Drosophila melanogaster: one gene and its partner. The protein of the gene in region 1 purifies or fractionates together with the protein of each later gene. This does not show direct contact. Each region holds a gene or a part of one and is shown in the gene's direction. Other genes may lie near its edges. The genes, in order: bru3 and mRpL1.

What was found.
Region 2: the proteins of bru3 (region 1) and mRpL1 purify together in Drosophila melanogaster (affinity purification with mass spectrometry, with the first as the bait; one large-scale study listed by BioGRID). This does not show direct contact.

Annotation. Positions count from the first base shown.
Region 1 is NT_037436.4:13,793,484-13,804,820, reverse strand, and holds the start of bru3 (bruno 3), read left to right. Parts: upstream 1-6,293; 5' UTR 6,294-6,797; intron 6,798-11,337.
Region 2 is NT_033777.3:8,296,075-8,307,198, forward strand, and holds mRpL1 (mitochondrial ribosomal protein L1), read left to right. Parts: upstream 1-5,365; 5' UTR 5,366-5,437; coding exon 5,438-5,628; intron 5,629-5,682; coding exon 5,683-5,992; intron 5,993-6,049; coding exon 6,050-6,613; 3' UTR 6,614-6,696; downstream 6,697-11,124. Other genes in the region: CG9626 (uncharacterized protein), read right to left, coding at 1-71, 131-251, 320-581, 641-956, 1,010-1,239, 1,299-1,446, 1,508-1,873, 1,943-2,119 and 4 more; nac (neuronally altered carbohydrate), read right to left, coding at 6,725-6,937, 6,991-7,714, 7,775-7,851; Sgt1 (suppressor-of-G2-allele-of-skp1), read right to left, coding at 8,512-9,048.

The DNA of each region.
Region 1 (11,337 bases):
TGGTCTCCCACTAAGGGACTATTTTAGGAGGCGGGGAAAGATCTCAAGTGACTGACTCATGTAGTGTGCACTTAAATTACATGTTTTTGAGCAATGCACCCATGTCGCCTTAGATAACAAAATCCTAAATATAATTTATCGCTCTCGATTCATTTACATAAGATATGAACGGAGCCCAAAATTGTAAGTCTTTAAATATATTCGTGTTCATGTGTGAACAGTTGCTGTTTTATAGAAATAACTTTCACTCCTTTCATTTTACTTATACTATAGATTGCATGCTAGTCCGTCGAGGAGGGGAATTTTGGTAAATATAGAGCTTCTTCAGTTCAAAGTCACGGGATGGAAACGGTGTAGTTTCAATGGTAATTATCACCTTTCATGCGATTCTATTTGGCTTCCGTGCTGTGCAAGGCATATTAATTTGATTATGGACCTAAAGATCGTGTAATTCTTATATCTAGATGGTATTTTCTTGGTGGTCAGGCCATTAATCAATTGTGACTCACTTTGCAGCTTGGTATTTCAATTACAAGTCAACATTTGCTTTGCTGTGCCCATGTATTAATTAGGAAGTCCTTCCGTTTCTAAGTATTGCCTTACTAATAACTTTGAACTGCGAACTCTCACCCACACAGGCGTAAAATGCCACAAAAGAGAGAGTTTTACAGAGAAATTTGAAAAGAGAATCGCCGGGGCAATTACAAAGAGACTCGTGTGCATTTGGCTTTGATTTCGCCATCTAATTTGGCTTTGTTTTGGTTTTGCATACTCCGCACAGTTCTCTAAACTTTCGCTCGCGCTGCATCAGCTTTTCTGCTCCACCACCCACTCAAGCCAACCAGCCACCTATCCACCCACCACCCACTATCGCCTAGTCCTTCGTCCTTTTTGGCAGCGTCTCAAGCGGCGTGTGTGGGCTGCACTCCTGCTTAATGTTGATTCGCTTAGGCCTATTTTCTAGTCTAGGCCTCGTCGTCCTAGGACCACTACATGTGTGAGGTCCTAGCGCAGGCGCCAGCAGCACGAGCAGTCAGGCCTGACTACATTCGTGCAAGTTTGAATAATTCATTTGGCTATTTTCTTATCTTTATGTTTACAAGTTCTAGAGTCAGTTTTTTTGCGGTAGGTTAGTTAGCCCGTTAAAGCGAAATCCCCATGACCAACCCCAAAATTAAAGAAAAAAAGGCAGTCAGGCAACCCAAACTTCGACCGGCGAATTCACTTTCCCGAAGCAAAAACAAAAACCCCACCACCACCCAATCCAAAAACCCCACCCACACAACGACCACCACTGTCGGCCATCCCAAAAAGAGTCCTTCGGAAAAGCCGAAGTCGTGTTTTGACTGCTCCATTTCCATTCGTTCCGCAGCCGCCTGGCATTGCCAGCTATTGCATCCTGTCGCTTCAGTTGTGTGGCAGTAGCCGCTTTGTAAACATTTATCGTCGTTCACCCACCGCGTCGTCCTTGTTGTCGCCTCCTCCGTGTTTGTGCTACGAGTTTTCGTCATCGTCATCGCCATCGCCCTCGTCATCGTCGGCGTCATCTTTCTCCTCTTTCGGTCCAGATCCTGCACCGCTTGTTTTGGCCATCCAACCGACGAGTCGGGTGTTGATACATTTTGGCCCGTAACTTTGACGAGCGTCAAAGAGAATTAAAGCCCCTCCAAAAGCCACCACCCTTCGGCCCCAGTGTTTGTGATTCCAGTGAAAGTTGTGCTTCAAAAATTCGACAACATCTCGTTGGTGGAAAGCAAAAGTATTTCGGAAAATGCAATTAATTACCAACTCATTTTAATAATGCTGATTTGGAAAAGCTTTTTAAAACATATTTCAAATTGATAGCGTGTCTGCTTTGAATGCCATCTTCGTCCAGAACAATAATTTGAAATTAAAGTTATTTCATGTTTTCAGTTTTGTCTTGACTGTGTTGTCCTGCTACTTCTTAGTTTGCTGTGCCGCACGTTTAAATTACATTAAAACTTTATACGATTTTTATTGTTAGTGGATACATTTGTGAAGCATAGTCATATAAATCAAGTTGCCAAAGCCATCCACTCTATACTGCCATCCTTAAAGAGATTTAGTTTTCTTTTATTTAGCTAACTAAGCAATTTGGCGCGGCTTATATGTCTGCTCAAATTGACCGCTATAAATTCAGACAATTTAAGCAGACACAAAACGTTAAAATAGTTTTACTATGTTCAGCGAAACACTTTCCAAGCATTGCAGGCTATTACTTTTCCAATCGAACTCCCACCTGTTAAACAGACATTACTCATACGCACAGTGTGCTTGAATTGAAGTTAAGAGTTGGCGTCCCATAAAAATGTTGATCACATTTTATACACTGACCTATGGTCCTGTCTACTTCCGAGGTCCTTTCTGCCTGTCCACACTGAACCTTTTAAAGTTGTCCACCCATGGACTCACAATAAGTTAAATATGTGTGAGTGAGGCAACTGCTGCTGATTCTCCCAGGCGCTACAGCCATTATTTCTTCCACTTGCGCAGCTTCCTTGGCCAGCATCTTAGTTTCTGTGGCCGTATATGTGTGTGTGTGTGTGTGTCTGAGTGTGCTATGTGTGCCCAGCTGTGCAATTGTTGACACCCACAGAACACAGAGCCACGTACACGTGCAAAGGGGCTTGTTTTTCGATACAGCAGCTGCAGCTGCCGGCTTGAAACGCTCCATTTGTGCAGCCAATCGCTACAGGCGGCGGCCTGTTATTTATACCCTAACCAAGCTGATGGAATAAGGATTATTAAGGATATGCTAAAATGAAAAGTAATTTGAACTGACCTTCGGAATGGAAATTGCGCCTTCAAATTAATTTACCCTGTGATAAAAGATAACTAGAAGAGTGTATTATTTGACTTGAGTCTAGCAGAAAGTGTACTAAAAATTCGTATAATAGCAAACGTATTTTCTTAATATACATTAGTTTGCCCCCTTAAGCTTGTGGTTCCAGAGCCTGACTGCCTCTCGCGCATTGAGTTCATTACCCCGTTGTGGTTAAGAAGGAGTGGCGGGCTTAGGCAGACTAATGTAATATTTAAGCGACAGAAATATTCACAAAAAGTTCAGCTTAATCGCAAGCTGCATCTGTTGCTATACCAACTTTTGCCTGGTATTTAAGTAAGGCATCAAAATTAAGCAAAACCTACGGAGTCTGCCCGAGGGAAGCCAAGCCCAAAACCACTTATTGCCAAAGTTTCGGCAAACTCCTTCATTTCATTATTGATTATTTCCAACCTTTATTTTCTACGCTTTATTTTGTTACAATACCCAGTTCAAGTTCCTCAGCTCTGAACTCTCTTTTTATGAGTACTTTAAAACTCCTCGAGTTCCGCTGACTTTTACTAACTTTGATGGCAGAAGCGCACGGATGAAAAGATTTGTGACGATTATTAAAAATAATTTTTTCCCCTTTTTGTGGCATTTAAGTGAGTAGCTGTAAAAATCTATAACGTTATTTTGGCGAGAAATAGAAAATTGGCAAAAATAGTATTGTAGTTGACTAAAGACGAAAACTTTAAAAATACCAAAATTGTACCCACATGTAAGGAACAAGACGAATTGTAAAGAAGCATTTAAGCTGACTTACAAAACTTAATGGTGCCAGAATTGCCAGGGCCTTTGAGAGGATTCTCTCTGTTTAAATCGTTCCACAGTAGTGTGATCTAAGCTTGTTTTGGTCCTTACAATATAGCAAATGTCGTCAAATCCATACACAGAAGTAAACATCCACAAACACAGACACTTATGGGCAGACCCAGAAAGCCACGGGCATTGCCTTCTAAGTCTCGTCCTTTTTTTCCACTGTTGTCCTTTTTATTTATCTCGCTTGCTCATTTTTGTGTTTTTGTTTTGCATTCTCAACGAGGCCAAACCGCACACACACGCACGCCCCCATGCAAATAACGCCACACACACACACATATACACCCATACACCCACACACATACACGCGCACACATAGACATGGTGAATGAGAAGAAGACAAGGCGTGACAAGTGCAGGCTTCATCCGAACGTGCCCTCTGCACTCAGCCCCTCCACCACCTCTACCTCCTCCCCCGACGCCTGTCAAGTCAACACCCTTCTCCGCCCGCTGCCATAACCAAAAAGAGGAAAAACTTTAACTAGATGCATATATAAATTGCGTTCTATATATTTATGCCCCGACATATATGCAAATGCATCATGGCTGCGCGGCAGTGGAGGCACAGCTTCTATTAAATATGCTTATTATGACACAAGCAAACATACAAACTTAATGTTTATTGGGTTCTTGGCGTTGGGTTCACAAGAGCAGAAAAAATATTTAATTGATAAATTCAGCAACGATAGCTTTACTGGCTGATTTAAGTGGATACAATTAAAACTAGTTTCTCTTTCTCTATTTGCGCAGTTCTTTCGATTTATTTGTTATAATTAAATTAATATGATTTATTTTAACCGATTTATTTGCACACAAAAAATAGTGTAAAAATTTTTTAAATATTGAAAAAAAAAAAACGTATAAACGCTAGTATTTCGCAGCTTTTTAAATTTGCCTTTAAATTGAGCTTCTGATTAATAGCGCCTGTTTTTTATGCCGGCAAAGTCCTTCCTTTTTTGTGTTAAAGATATCCTCTTCCATTCTCATCTGGTGTTTTCGATGTTTCTCCCTTAGGCTTTTTGGCTCATCTTAACTCACAGCGTTCCTTTTTAGTTTCACTGTCTCCATTCGTTTTGCCTTCCATAAATAAAATAAATGTAGGTGAAAATATACATAAATAATGGGCACAAGCGCGGCTTTTTTTATGAAGTGTTTGAATGTGCGAGTGTCAACCCAGGGCACTTGAAAGATGGTGGGGAGGGGGGCTTGTGATGGGGGCGACGTCTGTGAAAATTATAAAACAGACGACGCAGCCATTCTGGCGGGGCAAAGATATTATGGCCTCTGAAGGCTGAGAAGGGGACCCCTGCCATGTAGGCGTGTGTAAATAGCAAAAACCTAGTCGGGCGTACACAAGCCAAGTCATCATGGAAAATGGCTAAACAGGCAAAAGAATAAGGGCCAAAGAAGATAGAAAGATAACAGAGTGGAAGGCATGACAAATACGTTTTCTCTGCCTTTTTTTTATGGCATATACATATATGCCCCGAGGTAGTGGGACGTATAAAGTTTGACCTCCAATCAATAAATCACATTAAAAGGGGATCTTTCAAGAAATGAAGAGAATGACAATGGACAAAGATGGCCAATAACTGACCCATAATTGTTCATTGTCACGTCATTGTCCGCGTCAGTTGCTCAAGGCACATGAGAATAGTATCCAGCAAGAAATGTATTTATTCTTGGCCTCTTTTTCGTTCTTTTCCGCTAATTATTGTGTAATATTAATCTTATTAATAAATAACAAGGAATCATAGTATCCATATACTAAGAAACATCTCTCTAATAGCTAAGAAGTATCCTTTTCTTGTCACCTAGATCTCGCTTTTCTCCGCAAGCTAGATATACAGCCCAAGTATCCTTAATAAACACCGCACCGATAAATGACTGTTACTCATAGTATTCACCTAGAAAGGATGATGTACTTTTCCCCGAAATGAACACTTCGCCATTAAATGGGTGAGGAGTATCCTTTTTGTATCACTTGGCTCTGGATTTTCGCCGCTTTTCTCTCTTCATTTTCTTCTGGGCCAGTCAGGTCTCATCATCCGCTTGCGCTTTTTTCTCAGCTTTTGGCTTGATTTCCTTTTTTGTCGCTACAGCCAGAGTCCTTTTGCTCCGCGCTTGCCTTTTACTAGCCCAGACTGCGCCCACAAAGACGTGTACATATATGTGTTTTTCCAGCTGCCAAAAGGCTGCGCTTGGCTTCTTCGCAGCCAGTGTTTTGTTTTTGGCTTCGTCAGCCAACTTTAGCTATTGACAGACCTTGCCACCTCGCGTCCATGTCCTTGCTGGAAAACATTTCGCTTTCAGCGCTCATTTTGCAGGATGTCGGGAAAGTGATGTAAAAAATATACACAACAATTTCAAGATATCTTCTGTGGCCTATACTGCGTGCCCAAAAGCCATAATTATCACGCGTTCACATGGCGTATACGAGATTTTGCTGTTTCGCGTTTAAACTCTTAACCGAAATTTATGCTTTCGCTGTTGCTAATTGTACATTTTGTTGCTCTTGCTGTTTATAATGTAAAATTTATTGTGTTTGTGCATGTTTATTATCGCCACGCCGTTACGCGCCCTCATATGGATTTGTAACACGCCCCCCTACACCCCCTCTTTAAACATCACTGTGCATTTATGTTTTACAGCGTCTGCAAAAAATATTATCAAAAGTAATAAATGAATAACAAAATACAAAACAAACGCCATCAATAATTCATGGGAAAAAAAACAACACAAACAGAAATAACCAAAAATAAAAGCTTGCGGCGCGTCGTTCTTTAAATATTTTATAAATTAATTCTGCAAACAGCGTAAGCGAAATTAAAAAATACAACAAAAACATCAGGAATTAATGTAGTGCCTAATGCAATGTGTAATAAAACCGTGTAGACCAGGAGGTGCGCCAGATCATTAAATACCAGCAAACACTGTTAGGTGAAAAAAAAAAAAAAATTATGAAATACAAATTTATATTTATTATTGAATAAATATGCAGAGTAAATATTACATATGCTAACCGTGAAAACAAATTGAATTATACAGCAAATAAAACAACAAATACTTTTCGTCGTGTTTTCGAATGTTTGGCTATTAAAGCGCTTACAGCTTAATTGGGCGTTACAAAGTGGTAAGTAAAAAAATAAACACTTTTGATAAACAATTATTTTTGAAAATATAAATTATTAAAATGATTTTAGTCAAAAGTTTCATAGAATAAGAAGATGCTTTACATATTCATAGTGTTATATTTTGATATATGTCCGTTTCTCTTTTTATTTTTTTAGCCCACATTAATCAAACGACTATCTCAGTAAATTTGCACAGTATTATTATAGTTTAATTCATCGCACAAAAGACTCCTTAATCTTTCATGCAGCGATCTTTTAATATCCTCTAACTATTATCAAAACATATCAAAAATTGTAATTAAGATACCATTGCATTTCCCTTGGTAAATATATCACAGTTTTTTCTAATTTAAACACACGTACACAACGTCGTTCATGGCTTTATCAGCCAACTTTGCTGATTCAAAGATATCTGTCGACCCTCATCCATCAACAAAAACCCAACCACAAATGTCACATGCAAATTCGGTTCGCCTTGTAACGGAAGTGCAAGCAAAAAATAGCGAAAGATTTTTATACATAACTTTTTATGCTACTCATTGTTGGGAGCAGAAACTTCAACCTCCTTCCAACGGTTTGAGGTGGTGCTTGCTGCACTTTTGCGGCGAGGTGAGCTGTACGGGTGTGTGCACGTTTTTGCATTTGCACCACTTTATTTCAATTTTATTCGCCATTTTCTTCGTTTGCGTGGTACATTTCCTGGGGACGAGACGCAGCAGTGACTTTTGCTCGGCAGCTGACTCGACTCCACTTTCCGTTTACCCTGGGCTGCCCTCCTCATTACCCTCTTTACATTTCTAATTACACGCTCATTTTAAACTTGAAACATTTGCAAACGGATGCCTGGGTCTGGAGGAGTCTGCGATTTTCAGTAACAATTTTCCATTTCCCATGCCATGAGGCTGCAAAAATGTTGGGTCACAAACGTAATAGACCAGATTTTCCTGTGACTGCTAAAGAAACCTAGCTGGCCGACCACAAATGTCTGGCATCTAGGGCTTGATTTGGAGACAAGTCTTGCATTTGACAATTTTCTTTCATTTTGGGGCCTGAAAACATTTTCCTACAATGTTCTCAATATATTCCACTATTTTCGAGTTCATTTTAAGACCAATTGATATTACTAGTAGTATTTAATCTTAAATGTTCGCTTAGGGAATAGTAATTTTTAATTGCCGTTTTTATACTTAGAACACAAAAAGTAGACACTGTAATTTGCGAACCCTGGACATACCAAACGCGTTTTCGTTTTGTTAAGTTACTAAAAAATTAAAACAATGCTGCATGTCCATTTTGCATGTGAGGAAACATTTGGCGCGCAAGTAAATGTGCATGTGGGTGAGATGGTTTTTGCCGTTTCTAGACTGCTCTTTGTTTGAGTTGTGTTTTAATTTCCATATTACGTGCTGGCCAGAGATTTATCAATGCGATTTATATAAGCCATAATTTCTCCATTTCACCCAGAAGTAAGTTAGTAAATTACTGCAATCGCTTGCAACATCAATGGGTAAAATTTAACAGCAATAACCTTACATAAGATTTCACTATTTTCCTTTTTTTATAATAGTTTGAAAAATTTATATTATTAATTGTTTAATTAGAAATAGAATAAGTATGGATTAGAAAGTAATAATGAAGTGAAAGGAAGCGGCGTTGACTTACGTTGCCATTTGACCTTTTCAGGCCCCTTGAAGGGCAATTCTAACACACTGTCTCTCTCACAGGAAATGTTTATAACATGTCCTCCTTTGACAACTTATTCAATGAAAAGTTTCAAATAGTAGCTTATGAATAGTAAAAGAAAGATTATGAAATCTATTGGTAAGCGTTTAAAATGTAATTGAAATATTGCTCATACGCAGCATGTGCCCATTTATTGAAACTGGAAAGAATGCCAAGTTGGTTCATACCCAGTTGGCCCAATCAGGCCAATTCAATGACATAAATCTTAAGGCAATAAAGCAAAGAATGTCGCAGCATGAGACTATTATATTGTGCATACTGAGCTGGTAAAGCAAATCTCGTAAATGTACTAATATAAAATTGGTATTAATGGGCTGTCGCCTTAGGTGAAATTACCTTTAAGAATAATTGTATAAACAAGCAAGGGGATAGGAAGTTTAATAAGAAAGTATAAACTTTATAATTGAGAAAACTATTTAAGCCTATTTAAGCTTTTTTTATCTAACCTTTATCTCAACTTTTTCCGTTCTATGGTTCTACTTTTGCGTCTTTAAATTTAGCAATTGCCGCACTTGTAGGAAAGTTTCAATTATAAGTCAGTGTGCCAAAAATTGTTTCACAAACTCTAATTAATTTATAGTGCTTCACAACTCGTAGCTTAAATGGTGCAGTTGATAAATTGGCGAGATAAAATTATAATAATGCTGATGTGGAAATAAAATATGCAAAATACTTATTGTACAACTCGTTCCTATTTAATGATATCTTTTCTCAGTTACTATTAAATATGTTAATCTGCGCAAAGCGGCACTAAAAAAAATACACCAACACGCAGGTAAAACTGAAAATACCTTTAAAGAAAACAAACTTCAGCGGCGCTATCAACTGCAGATTTCGCTGTTGGTATTGCCAATTTAAGCGAAAATTAAATTGGAATTTGCAATGAATATTTGAACAAAAGTACACAGACCAGAGTGCGGTAAGCGAGCAGTGGTAATGGGATCGAAGCGAGAGGATGGGCATAGGCTGCATGAAATGAACACAAGTGTTGAGCAAAGTGAATGCGTAATGCGTTTTTGCACCCGGAACAGGACAGGACCACCAAAAAAAAAAAAAAAAAAGTCGGACGCTGTCAGTCACCCAGGTCCGTAATTTGCAGCCCGGGTATTCCGCTGAGTTGTTTCCTCCGGTATATGTGGTTTTTCTTTGATATCCTAACAAAAAGGATGAACTCATCAGAAAAGGATTTGTAGCTCTTCAGAAATAATGATTTCACATGCTCGCATTTACAAATACCACTTTTAATATTTATTAAGTCTTTTATTTTAGATGTTCTCTAATGTTTTGGTCCTAAAAAATTAAGTTCTGTACAGCACGCTCTTAAAGAACAAATAGAAAAAACGTTGGGCGCCAATCTTTCGTTTACATGTTAAGATAAAGGCTTAATCTATAATATATATACGTCACAAAGCTTATATTATTCCATAGACGATGTGAATAAGTTTTGAAATGAGTTTTCAATAGAGGCCTTCAAAATCAGGAAGTTGCTTTCTGATTGAGTGAAGCTTGTTTGGTAGGTCTCTGAAAATGTGCACGCCTGCCCAGAACAAATCCATTCCTTGATGTTGACCCCTTTAGATCGAACGGCAATTGCAATGGATTTGATTTTTCCATACTTTGCCGTCGAGCGTGACATCCACGTAGCCCTTCACGCTTCTCCCGCTTCCGCCCTTCTGTCACATGTGAAATTGGGCGGCTGACATGTTTGCCTGTGTTTTTTTTTTTTTTTTTTGCCACCACCTCCCGTTTTTCCATTGCTCATGTTAGAGTAGGTAATTTTTTAATGCATTTAAACGGCTGTCAAGTGGCCCACACACGCCACTTCGCTTCTGAAACCGCTCCACATTGCCTCCGTGCCCCATCCTTTGCCCTTTGTTAGCAGTTTTGGAAAGTGACGCGGCGCGAGCAGTTGCCCAAAAATATGCAAAAACCCGCGAGCACTTACGACAAGCTCGTTGCGAAGGCAGGAGGACTATATCAGGTTGCGGCCCTCAACAGCAAAGCAAAATTTAGACATTCAGCCTACAGTTTGGTGTTCAGTTTTCATTCACCGAAAAGTGAAACCAAATAGAAAAAAAATGCTTTTTCGAGGAAATAGCGCACAGTCGATGGGTAGTTAGTTGCTTGACGAAATTCGTTCATTGTCCTGTAGATTAGGAGAAATATAGCTACAAGGCTATGTCTAGTTGTATCATAAACAACAAGTCAGTTGCAGGATTGTTATGTTTGCAAAAATCAATAAGTTAATAGGAAATGGATCGGCATTGATAATACACATGCTGCTTGGCAGAACATCTAGGATTCGTTGTAAAACGTGCTTTTATTTCCCTTTGTTTTGAGCACTCACAACGTTGGCTTGCCTGTCGGAGCAGAGTCAAGTAGAGGACATACAAAATTGAAATAAAGTACAAACATGTTGCCAACTTTTTGCACAGCAGCAACAACAACAACAATAACCACTGTCTGTCATTCAGTCTGTCGGTCTGTGGAATGGTTTAGGCCCATAACAACAACAACAAACAACAACAACAACAGCGACGGAGAGCGAGGCAGGAAAAAGTTTTAACTGATTACGTTTGCTGTTGATAATGTTGAGTGACATTTGGTTTGCGTATTAACTTAAGTGAGCGACAGCAGCTGTCTGTCCCCCGCCAACTGAACGCATACACATACACACGTACAAATGTGGAGTGTCCTGGATCCACCCACGGATTCACCCCTTTTGGGAGCTCTCCGGATTGCCAGGAGGTTTGTATTTCAATTAAAAAATTAATTTTTTAATGTGACCCGCTGATG
Region 2 (11,124 bases), on another chromosome or scaffold:
CTGCTGCCCATCCTCGCTGGTGATGTTAATATCCGGCACTAAGTCTCGGGGATACCGGTTGCTTCCACCCTCTACAAAGTCATTAAGATTCGAATAAGGTACGGTTCGGTTAAGTGGAAGAAATTCTTACGTATACTCAGCTTAAGGCACTGCAGGCATTCATACAGTCCTTGGAGTTCCTCCAGATACTCCAGCGTTCGCTCTTGCATGGTTTCTTGGCAGCAGGCTTCGTCCAAAGGCGATTTTTGGCTCTAAAATGATAAGTATTTAGCAAACAAATTGGTAAACAAATAACTCAAATTTTTAATTGTCATCTCACCAGCTCGGTTAGTCGTCCCAGTTCGCTCTGGACATCGGATATGGCGTTGAGCACGCCCGCCCTCATCAGGTTGTTGGAGTAGTACGGATAAATGCTACGAATGCTAAGTAATGCGGCCTGGCAGTCCCGCATGGACGGGTGTTCTAGCAGATCGGGCGAAGCATTCTTCAGTTGGCCAAACAGCTCATCGGCACGTTTCAGTGCTCCCAGCAAGGGGGCCAGATTTGTGTGGGACTCAAAGCTCTGGACGCGACGCGAATTGCTGGAGGGAATGAGAAGCCATCAGTTTACGTAGGATCGGGTATTCCAAATGGCACCTACACATAGTCGTTACACTGCACCTCCTCGTACTTATATATGGGCGTCTGCTGCTCCACCAGAGTGTGAGCGGTGACCAGTGGAGAGGCGGTGTCATGAATGTGCTCCTCCACCTCCACCATCACAGCCTCCGGCTCGTCGTACTTTTTGAACTCGTGATCGGTGAGGGCGTCGGTGTCCTCGACTTCCTTCAGATCGTTGACGTCGTTTAGAGAAAGGGATGAAGCCTGCTGGGAGATGGCCTGGGCCAGGTTGCAGTTGGGTGACACACTGTCAAGGGACAGTGAACGGCTGAGAGTCGGGGAGTGATCCGCTGCCACTATAGAAAAGTTAAGAATTAACTTCAGATCGATCAGATAGTTCCATACCCACCTTTATTGCACTCCTTGTTGATGCGCCTCACATCTATGGGACAGTAACCAGGATGCAGCAGGGCAAACGTGGATGCTTCCGGCCCGATTCCCCTAGCTTTCTCCCACTCGTAAAGCTTCCTAGTGAACTTCCTCGAGATGCCCTCAAACTTCATCACCTCTCCATCCGAAGTCTTGACCTCAATTTTCTTGGTATGATCCGGTACCACAATGGCCTTTAGGCGGGACAATCTATCCAAATATTCAAGGTTTAGTCTTCAGAAGAGAAAGATTTTCGGCTGTCTACAAACTTCTCTTTCTCGTGCGGCCTATGCTTGTACCATCGATCGTCATCGGATCCCCTTCTTGTACTCTGACTGTGCTTGGATCCTCGCTTCAGGGAGTCATTGTCCGAGGTAGTGCCGCCACCAGGAGCGCACTTCAACCGATTCCACTGCTCTGTGGGCAAGGCATGTTGTTAAATATGACTATAAAAGGAAAAACCGTGCCAAATACCAACCCAACTTCTTCTGAAACTTCTCGGGCAGATCCTTCTGATCAGGCAAAGCGCACAATCCTTGGCCCTCCAACTTCACTTGACCCATGCTCCACAGATTCCAGTCAATCTTGGGCTTAACATCCCCACTTTGGCTCTTGGCCGTGGGACTTGCTGCTGGTTCTGATGAGGTGATTGATCCTGCAGAGCAATTTTGCTGCTTGGCCCGCCACTTGGTTAGCTTCTTTTTGAACTGTGGGGTAAGATTCTGCTCCAGCTGGGCTGTGGACATGAGTTCGTTGTGCAACAGTTGGGTGGGCGAGTGCTCCTCGCTGCTGCGCTTTCCACTACCAGCTCCTCCTCCGGCTGCTCCACTTCCCAGTTTGACACCTAAAATGGTGGTTTAGCATTGATTAGAGGCTTATTGGATATGTCTTCAATGTTTTTGAGGATCCCTACTGCGGTTGCTGGCGCTGGAACGCTCTAACTCGAGTTGCTTGCCCTTAAACTCTGAATCTAGTTTGAGTACGAGAAGTTGATAATGTTGAAATATCTCGTCATCGGCGTTCTGTGGGAAATTCTTACAGTTTGGCGTAGTGGGTTCCGAGAAATCACCACTGGATAGATCCTCGCTCTCTGCAAAATACCACAAGGTTAAAGAAGTTTCGTTATGACAAAGGGATTGTGGAGTGAAACCATCCCCTCTTGGACCTACCAAATTCACCAAAGAAATCCGATTGCCTGGAAGGACTGCTGGGCACCGAGGAGGTCCCCGGCGAATGGACACGACGCATGCGCGAATCCTTGGGACTCTTGAGCGGAGAGTGCAGTTGTGGCAGATCACTATACATCTGGTTCACCTGGTTGAGATTCAGTGGACTCGGTGGCACCTTTTGTCGACGACTGCTGGTAGCCTTAATCTCCGCCACATGATCCTCTGGCAGGACCTCAAAGTCGGAGAAGGCTTTCGACCTTCGCAATGACTTGCTGGATGATGATTTGATTGGTAGTGGCGGAGCTGAAGATTTAATATTGTCCAGGCGTTCGTCAGTAGCGGATTTTCGTAACTCCACCTCAAAGTTGGAGTCGCGGGATTCGCAGCGGGTATCACTTTTAGAGGAATCACGACCTGGAAAGGATTGACATTACTCTAACGAGCTGTAAATTAATTATTATTAAGAGAATTACGATAATTCTGTCGGGTGGTGGCCTCAAGATCATCCATGGAGCTGGCCGAACTGATGGTACCAGGTGTCCCACCCGTATCACTCATAATATGACCAGAGGAGGAGCTGATGATGCTGTCCGCGGAACTGCTGCCGGCTGCCGCGCTAATGGGCACCTTGAGGTATCTGAAAAATAAATAAGCAATAGAATAACGCCAATGAGAGTAACAATCCGCAATACAAACCTCTCCACCTCATGGTTGAGTGGCATCAAGACGTGGTTTTCCAGAGCACCTGGTCCCGAAGGCGGCACATTTGCCCGCTCCCACTTGAAGGCGGCCTTGACCTTGGTCCACTTGGACACCTTGGCCTTGTTGTCGCTGTAGGTGCTTTGACGCCTCAGGATATATGGTCGCGAGGAGCTCAGCTTTAGACTGGGACGATCGCCCTTCATGAACACGTTTATGTCCTCCTCCATCATGGACTTGCTACGCTCGCGAATACTGTATAACAAAGTGTAATTTTGTTTTTGAATTATATTCATACGCAAAAAATCATAATCACCGTTTAAACTTTCCCTGCTTGAAGGGCGGCACCACCTCAGTGCCCATCAGAGATTCTAGCCAGGTAAGGGAGTGCTCCAGATCGAACTGATGGTCAGTATTGTTGGAGCGAGGCGGCTTGGTGGGTGGATGCTGATTGGCAACTTGACTAGTGGAAGGAACATCGTCATCATCAACAACTGTCAGCTCAGCTTCCCGTTCACCCGCCTCGTTGTCGGTGATGGTGGCTAGTCGGTGCTCCAGAAATCCCTCCAGCAAAGCGTACGTGCGAGTCAGCTCATCCATGGCTTCAATTGCCGAGTTGAGGCGAGTTTTCAGCGGTTCGATGGTGCCCCGATCCGCCCGATAGGGCTGGCACTTGGAGCAAGAGTGCTTACCCAGTTCGCAAACGGGCAGATCCTTGGCCTCTCTCCTCTCGAATTTAGGGGAGGCGGAGAGATTGCGGGCACGGGAGGCCACCGCCGGAAACTGGAAAATGTTCTCTTCCGTGCGACCGCACATCGCCGGCGGAGCGGTGGGCAAGGACTCATAGTGCAGGACATTCTGCCGGGATCGCGTTCGTCGGGGTTTTGGCGGTGGATGCGGCGGCGGAGGTGGCTTGTCCCACTCCATCTCGATATCGCTCAATAGGAACTTGTTTGTTTACTCTGCCCGATTCGCCACTAAAAACGCACACAAGAAAAGAATATCCGAGAATTATCAAAATCGGGAGATTGTTTATAGAAGAGGAAGACCAATGTGGAACGTCCGCCGCCAAGCACACACACACACACAAACACACACACACATACAAACGAGTCCTAAAGTGTAACGATTAAGTCCGCGAAATGTAAACAATATTTTCGAAAATCCCATTTCAGCACGTTTTCCCACATGTGCGAAAGTTTTGAATCTTTCCCAAAAATATGCACGCGTGTGGTCACTTAACCGAAACGGAGAACCGATTCGGAATGCACTGTGTTATTGTGTTTTGGGTCTTGATTACGCTTTTGGCTCAACAACTGGATGCCATCGTGCGTCGGGAGGCCCGCCGAAGAACAAATAAAAGCACGCCGCAAACCAAACTATTTATAAAACGCTGACACTCTTTTGTTTGCCTCCCCATGGCGATCGCACTACGCCACCACACACACCCAATGTGCCGCTGGCCCCCTTCTCGATTCCCCATCGCCAAGTGCGCAACACTTCCTTTATTCCACTTTTAGGTTACACGCAATTAATATTTCCAATTTATGCGAAAGTGCACGCACTCGCGAAAGAAATGTGCTGGATGGATGGATGGACGGACGTGGACCGGTGGATCAGTGGGTGGGTGGGTGAATGGGTGGATGGCTGGTGCTGGGATCAGATCATGTGTATCTGAAGTCGGCGGCCCCCATTACTTTCGCCACTTTCCGAACGTTATATCGAAACTGTTGCCACACATTGAATACACACATTTTTCTTTTCTTCGCTCGACTTTTCTTCCTGGCTGCGCTTCTTTTGTTTAATGGGTTTATGCGCAAGGTTGTCGGTCTATTTTTGGTGTTTTGTTGAAAGGAAAAACAATAACAAATTATTACTTGCACTTTTCCTACTTGCACACTCGGTCGTCCGACCCGCCGCGGAATTTTCATCGGCCACTCGCTCGCTGTCTCTTTCTCTCTCCCTCACGGATACTCGCGATTTTCCGCGACTTTGAAATTCCGTATACGTCCGTTCCGTTCGTCGGTCGAAGCTATTCTGAGCGGTACGGCGCTTTTGAACACATCGGAAAAGTTGAAAATTTTGAGATTTATTTATAGAGAGAACGGGCAGTGTTTTGATCTCTTTGCTGATTTCCAAAGGTCTCTTTGAATATAATTAATCAATGGGTTAATCAGCCCTATAGTGGATTTCTTATTGAAAAATAATAATTAAAATTCAATCACTATGTAATTAAATGTATTTTTACAATTTATGAGATAAAAATTGGGTGTACAGGTTCATACCCAATTTCTAACTCATAAATTATTATTCGAATAAACGCACCTCAAAATAGTTTTTGAAAAAGCCCGTTAAAAACATTGACTTCAATTCGTGCTATTACTATTAGCCAAGTTTACAACCATGGTTCGTGGTCAGGCTTTTATCAGCTACAGTGTGGTAAACAGTAGTTTTCCGACGAAGAGTTGGCAGTTCTGGCCGGCGAGGTTATGCAAAGCGAGAGGTTTGCATTCCAGTAAATAGTAATATTTCTGAAAGAAATGCAGTCCATTCTGTCTTCAATGAGGGCACTGGCCCTGCGCCAGAGCACGGTGGAGCCCCTCCGCCTGCTGCATCTTTCCGCCGTGAGCGAGGCGGCCCGTAAAGGAACTCGGGAGAAGGCCCGCAAGAAGAAAGTCAAGGTGGAAGTGAAGAAGGTTGGATTCATCCCGCACAACCAGCGCAACAAGAAGTAGGTTGTCAGCTCGATGTCCATAACACCGGATTTACTATCGTTCTTCTCTAGAATCAATGTGAAACGGGCGGACAAACATGTGGATGACTCCTGGAAACAGGTGCCCAAAGATGACTGCTATGTGGGGCGCTACTACCGCTGGCCAGTGTACTCGGTGCAGGAAGCTATCCAGTGCCATCGGGAGACGCATCATCCCAGCATGTACAACGTACCCAATGCTCCCCTCAATTTGGATATTGAACTCAACATGCAGGCGGAGAAGATCACACGTTTTGTGGATAACTTCCAGCGCATGGCCATGATTCCACACAAGTTTGACCACGGCGAGGAGCGGAAGATCATAGTTTTCACCAAGGGAAATGTGAGTGCAGCTTCTTAGTACAAAATCATAAAATAACATCTTGAAATTTATTTCCAGAATGAAGTCCTGGAGGCCAGGGAAGCTGGCGCCTCGCTAGTCGGCGGCGTGGAGCTCATTAAGGATATTACCAGCGGCGAGCTGCTGCTCTCCGACTACCAGTACGTCATTGCCCATCCGAATATACTGGCCGAGCTGGTGGCCCTGCGAGGCCTGATGAAACGCAAGTTCCCAAATCCAAAGAGCGAGACGCTGGGCACCAACCTGGCCGAGATGATCGTCAAATTCTCCAGCGGCATTAGTTACAGTGCAGCCAAGGATGAGTACCAGCAAAACTTTGGCCTGATCACCGCCAGTGTGGGCACTTTGGACATGGATGTCCAGAAGCTTGAGGAGAACATCAAGTTCCTACTGCAGGATATTAACACTATGAGGCCCAAGCGCGAGGGACGTTTCATTACACGTGTCCTGCTGAAGAGCCCGCCAAGCAGTGAGCAGCTGAAAATCGATCCCTTTGTCTACGTTCCAGAGATGTGGGACAAGAGCACGGCGAAGGTGAAAAGGGATGGGGCCAAGAAGCAGACAGAGCCGGCGGAACCCCAAGAAGCAGTTGCCTCCAATTAGTTAAAACAGAAGCCTATGTATTTTTGTTGATGGATTGTTTGTGCATACTTTAAACTTACATCTCCTAGAGTCCTAAACAGTCTACTTTACTTTGGCAGCTTTTAATTGCATTCAGGCCTTCTGGGTGGCGGTGCTGCGTTGTTGGTGCTGGCGCATCATCTCCAGCTGCTTGACACGGGTGTAGGCGGCGCTGGCCACCAGGACCACCACATTGGAGGTCCACCAGAGAGCCGATCGAACGTCATGGTAGTACTGAGTGGCGATCACCGTTTGAGCGCAGGCCTTGGCCGTTCCCGAGATATTATGCGTCAGGGCGGATGTGACCTGAAATATCGATCGGGCTAGATAAGCGATTAACATGTGAATTGTTTGATTACCTTGATTTCCAGCGCAGTGACAAATCCAATGGCAAAGCCACAAAGGCCACTAAGCGTCATCGCGGCCCAGAACCAAGAAGCCCACAGGTGCGGATACGTGATAATGCTCTCCAGCTCGCCATTGATGATGATCAGGGGCAGGAAGAGCAACGTGGAGTAGAGATTATTGTAGTAGCTAAGCAGCCATACCTCCTGGTTGACATAACCCAATGATTTCTTCGTCTGAATAGAAAACATGGCCAAAGCAAGCGAACTAAGCACTCCAAAGATGGTTCCCCGCCAGGAGAAGACCTCCGTCAGGCTTTCTTGGTCCACACCCAGCCAGAATCCAACGACAATAGCGCCACAACACAGCAGGCACTTGAAGCTGGTTCGTTGGCGTAGAATCACGTAAGTGAGGACCACACTAAACACGGTTGTTAGGGAGCGACCGATGTAGTAGAAGGCCACTGTGACGTAGGACAGCGACAGGTTGTTGGCCCCAATCATCAGGGTATAGAGCACAGATAGAGGCAGGATCTTGCGGAAGGTGTCGATGTCCAGTGGATTTCCCTCGGGAAACGTAAATACCGAGGGGTACTTCCTGCTCAGCCGACTTGCCACAAAACATATCACTGTGGAAACCACGCATTGGAACCAGGACATAAAGAGCGGAGCTCCCAGGTTTACTGTATCGCTGCTCAGCAGGTGCTTATTTACGAATACCGTCAATATCGAGGTGCACCTGTGGAAGAAATGGAACTGCAGGCGGCGCACAGATGGAGGGTTCGCACGCATTACTCACCAGTAGAGCGACACGACGAAGAATATCTTTAGGTATTTGTTAACCAGCCGGTTGTGCTCCTCCAGATTCTTGTACATTTCGGAGTTTTTAGGAATTGCAGAGCAATTTGTGCGAGCCAAAAGTAATTGTGCGTTTATTTTTACACGTATCTGCTACCCGGTCTGCCGATCAGCTGTTTTCGCTGAGAACGTTTCGGTTGAGTGCGGGGGTGGATTCAGCAGTTGTTCGTTGTGAGATAAAATGAATAATGAAATAAAAACAATCAGCACAAGAGTTCAACGACAGTTTCTTGCTCACCTTTATTGTGCGTTTTCAAAATGCTCTAATTGAAAAAAGTTGTTGAAAACTGTTGATTTAAATTTATTCGTTACAAATTAAATACATACATTATCCAAATCTTATTCTGTCGAGTGTTTTAACCAAACTTGTTACAGAAATAAAGTGCTATGATATAACAAAATATTAATTAAAATACATTTATGTTGTGAGGTGCTCGAAAGAGTGTTTATGTGGTGGATTCATTAATTTATTTTACAGCCTAGTTCTTTTCTAGGAAATATAAACATTTTTGTGTTTCTGAAGTTCCTTTAATGCGTTTATTGCCACTGTTTTCCTTATGATACTCCTCTGTACTTGCTAATTCAAGTCGACAATCCCCAAAATGTACACGTTATAGTAATTATTCTCTGTTAATCTCTCTCGCTGACTCTATAAATAAAGGAGTATGGCCATTTCGCCTACTTCTCCCACTCGCGGAACTCGGTTCCATTTGGAGGCTTCACGGTGACTCTTTCTTTGCCCACCTCATTCCAGTTGGTGCTGAGCACGGTGCCTCCGGACTCCGAGAAGGACTTGTTCATGGCCTTTTGGACCTCGGGCGAGGATGAGCTGTAGATTTTCTTGAACAGGTTGGTGAGGGCCGCCTCGCCCTTGGCCTCCTTCTCGTCGATCTTTTCCTCCTCGCTGACCAGCTGGTCCCAGTTCTTGGCCTTGGGTTTCACCGGTGCAGCCACGATGGCCTCCTCCAGATTCTCCCACCGAATTCCCGTCTCCTTAGCCAGTGTGATTTCCACTTTGGTCGAAAAGGCCTTGTAGGAGGAACGCTCCACAACAATGGGATGAAGCAGCTTCAGGTCCAACTCGTAGCCATCCGCCGTCATGTGGACTCGCTTCTGGGTAATCTCCACAGCATAGTTCTTATCGACGGCGTTCTTCAGGAGCACGGTGATGACCACCTTGGTCTCCGACTGGTACCAGTCGTGGCGCACGGACATCTTGCTGCTTCAGCTGGTACTGGAAATTGGGAATTGTTGAGGATTCCCCTATAATTGCTTTCGCCCACTAAACGGGGTTAATTTTATTATTATCTGGAATTATCTAGAATTCAATACAAATGAATGTGACTAAAGGCAGTGCTACCAGATATAAAATGATTATCGACAATCGATTTTTTGTAGCTTAAGTGGCAGCGCCTATTAAGTTTCAACATTCAAACGTCGATATCGATAAGTATCGACGAACCGGTTCAGAAATCAGGGCTGTGAGCGTGGAATAAGGTGTAGCAACGACTCTAACCTTAATGGAACTGTTGGTGCGGCAAGTAATTTCCAGCACTGCAAAAACTTAAATTAAGGCGCCAATTTCCCTTTTACAAATTTGATTTTTTTGTTTGAACTTTTCATCACGATTGAAATAATTTCAACAGACTAGAAAGTTGTCAAAGACAAAAAAAAGGTTACAAGTTCTTTTTTGCAAGGATACAAATCCACGGGAAATTATTTGAAATCTGCTCACACCAACTGCTCACTTCAACTGCAGCCAACTGAAAACAAAGTTCTAGCCAATTTACGGGCACTTTAATTTCGGTACTTCGCTTTGGGGAAAAAACAGCAGTCGAAAGCGCATAAGTCCCGACGACAGCAAACATAAATTCCAGTCGTCTGGATCCACCCCCCTAAAGAAATCCGCATAGTCAAAGTTTGTCCAAAGTGACAGCAGAATTGAAAAGTGTGCGAGGGGCTGGGCAAGTGGCCCAGAAACTATTTACTGCTCTAAGTTTTATGACTTGCACTCGACTTTTTTTGTATGCTTGCCTTTCCGATCAATTGACAATTATCTTGTGAGAATTGAAGAACAGCTGCTAAAATTCGGAAGACACGCCACTTTTGCATTTAAGTGTGGCAAACAAATTTATTCACAACATAATTTTTTCTCTTAACTTATAACTTTACTCTAACATTATAACTTCGCATATTTGCATCTATAAATAAAATAATAAATAAAACTAAAATATGAAATATGGAATATACAGTTACATTTACATTTCACGCGTGTTTTATGTGCAATTCCTGTACAGATTTGAGAAAATGTCGAGAATAACATTTTATTGCATTCATTACATTTCATTAACATTTGCATGCGAAGGGGAAAATTTAACAGAAGCGTTCTATTCCATATTATTATAGAAATGTTATATTTATCGCATGCGAGAAACCGAGCTATGTAAACTAACAGTCTGCATTCGCGCTTAACAGCTGTGCTGAATAGAGAGGGGTAAGCTGGCTGTTAAAATTTGACACGTGTACACGGTGTACATAAAACGACGTAAAAATAAAGTAGAAATGCTGTTTCGCTCTGATGAGAAAACCAATTGGAAAATATCTAGCCAAGTCAAATTGGAATTTAGTAACTAAAGATTATAAAGATTTATATGTACAGTAAATATAGGCAACGAAAGCAAATGAAAACTATGGCTATTTAAAGTACTCATCACTTGGCCAAAAACACTCTTTCACTGCTTCCACTTACGACAATTAACTGTAAATTATATTTTCCATCAAACGCAATCCGCTCCCCTCCCCCCGGCCAACGAACGCAAGCTGGCATCTCGAAACCGAAATTTATCGAAAACTTTTAGTAAAGCAAATATTGACGTGGTTTCGAGTGGTTGGATGGCTGCGCGGGTGGAGGGGATTGGAGTGCGCTGCACTTGGCGGGAAATGCACTTGGACGGCATACAAATGGCGATGCTGCGATGCGAGTGATGATACAAACGACGTGTTAGCTTGCTTGTTTGTTTGTCACTTGCGCCGCGTGCAGAAAGTAAGAGCCCACCCACTCCCACTCGCGCCAGCTCCACAAAACTTGACCTTATGGCTCTCCAGTTTAGCTGCCTAATATGGTCGTAGCGACCATGCACGCCAGCCAACATCTTTCCGGGATTGAGCCCTCGAAAAGCTGACACTGATTAATAGCTTAAGAAGCAGGAAGCCATTGCCGTAAAGCTAGCTACATGCATTGGGTCAGCATTCGCATCCGCCAGCGTCGTTATTTGCATGATAAAAGCAAAG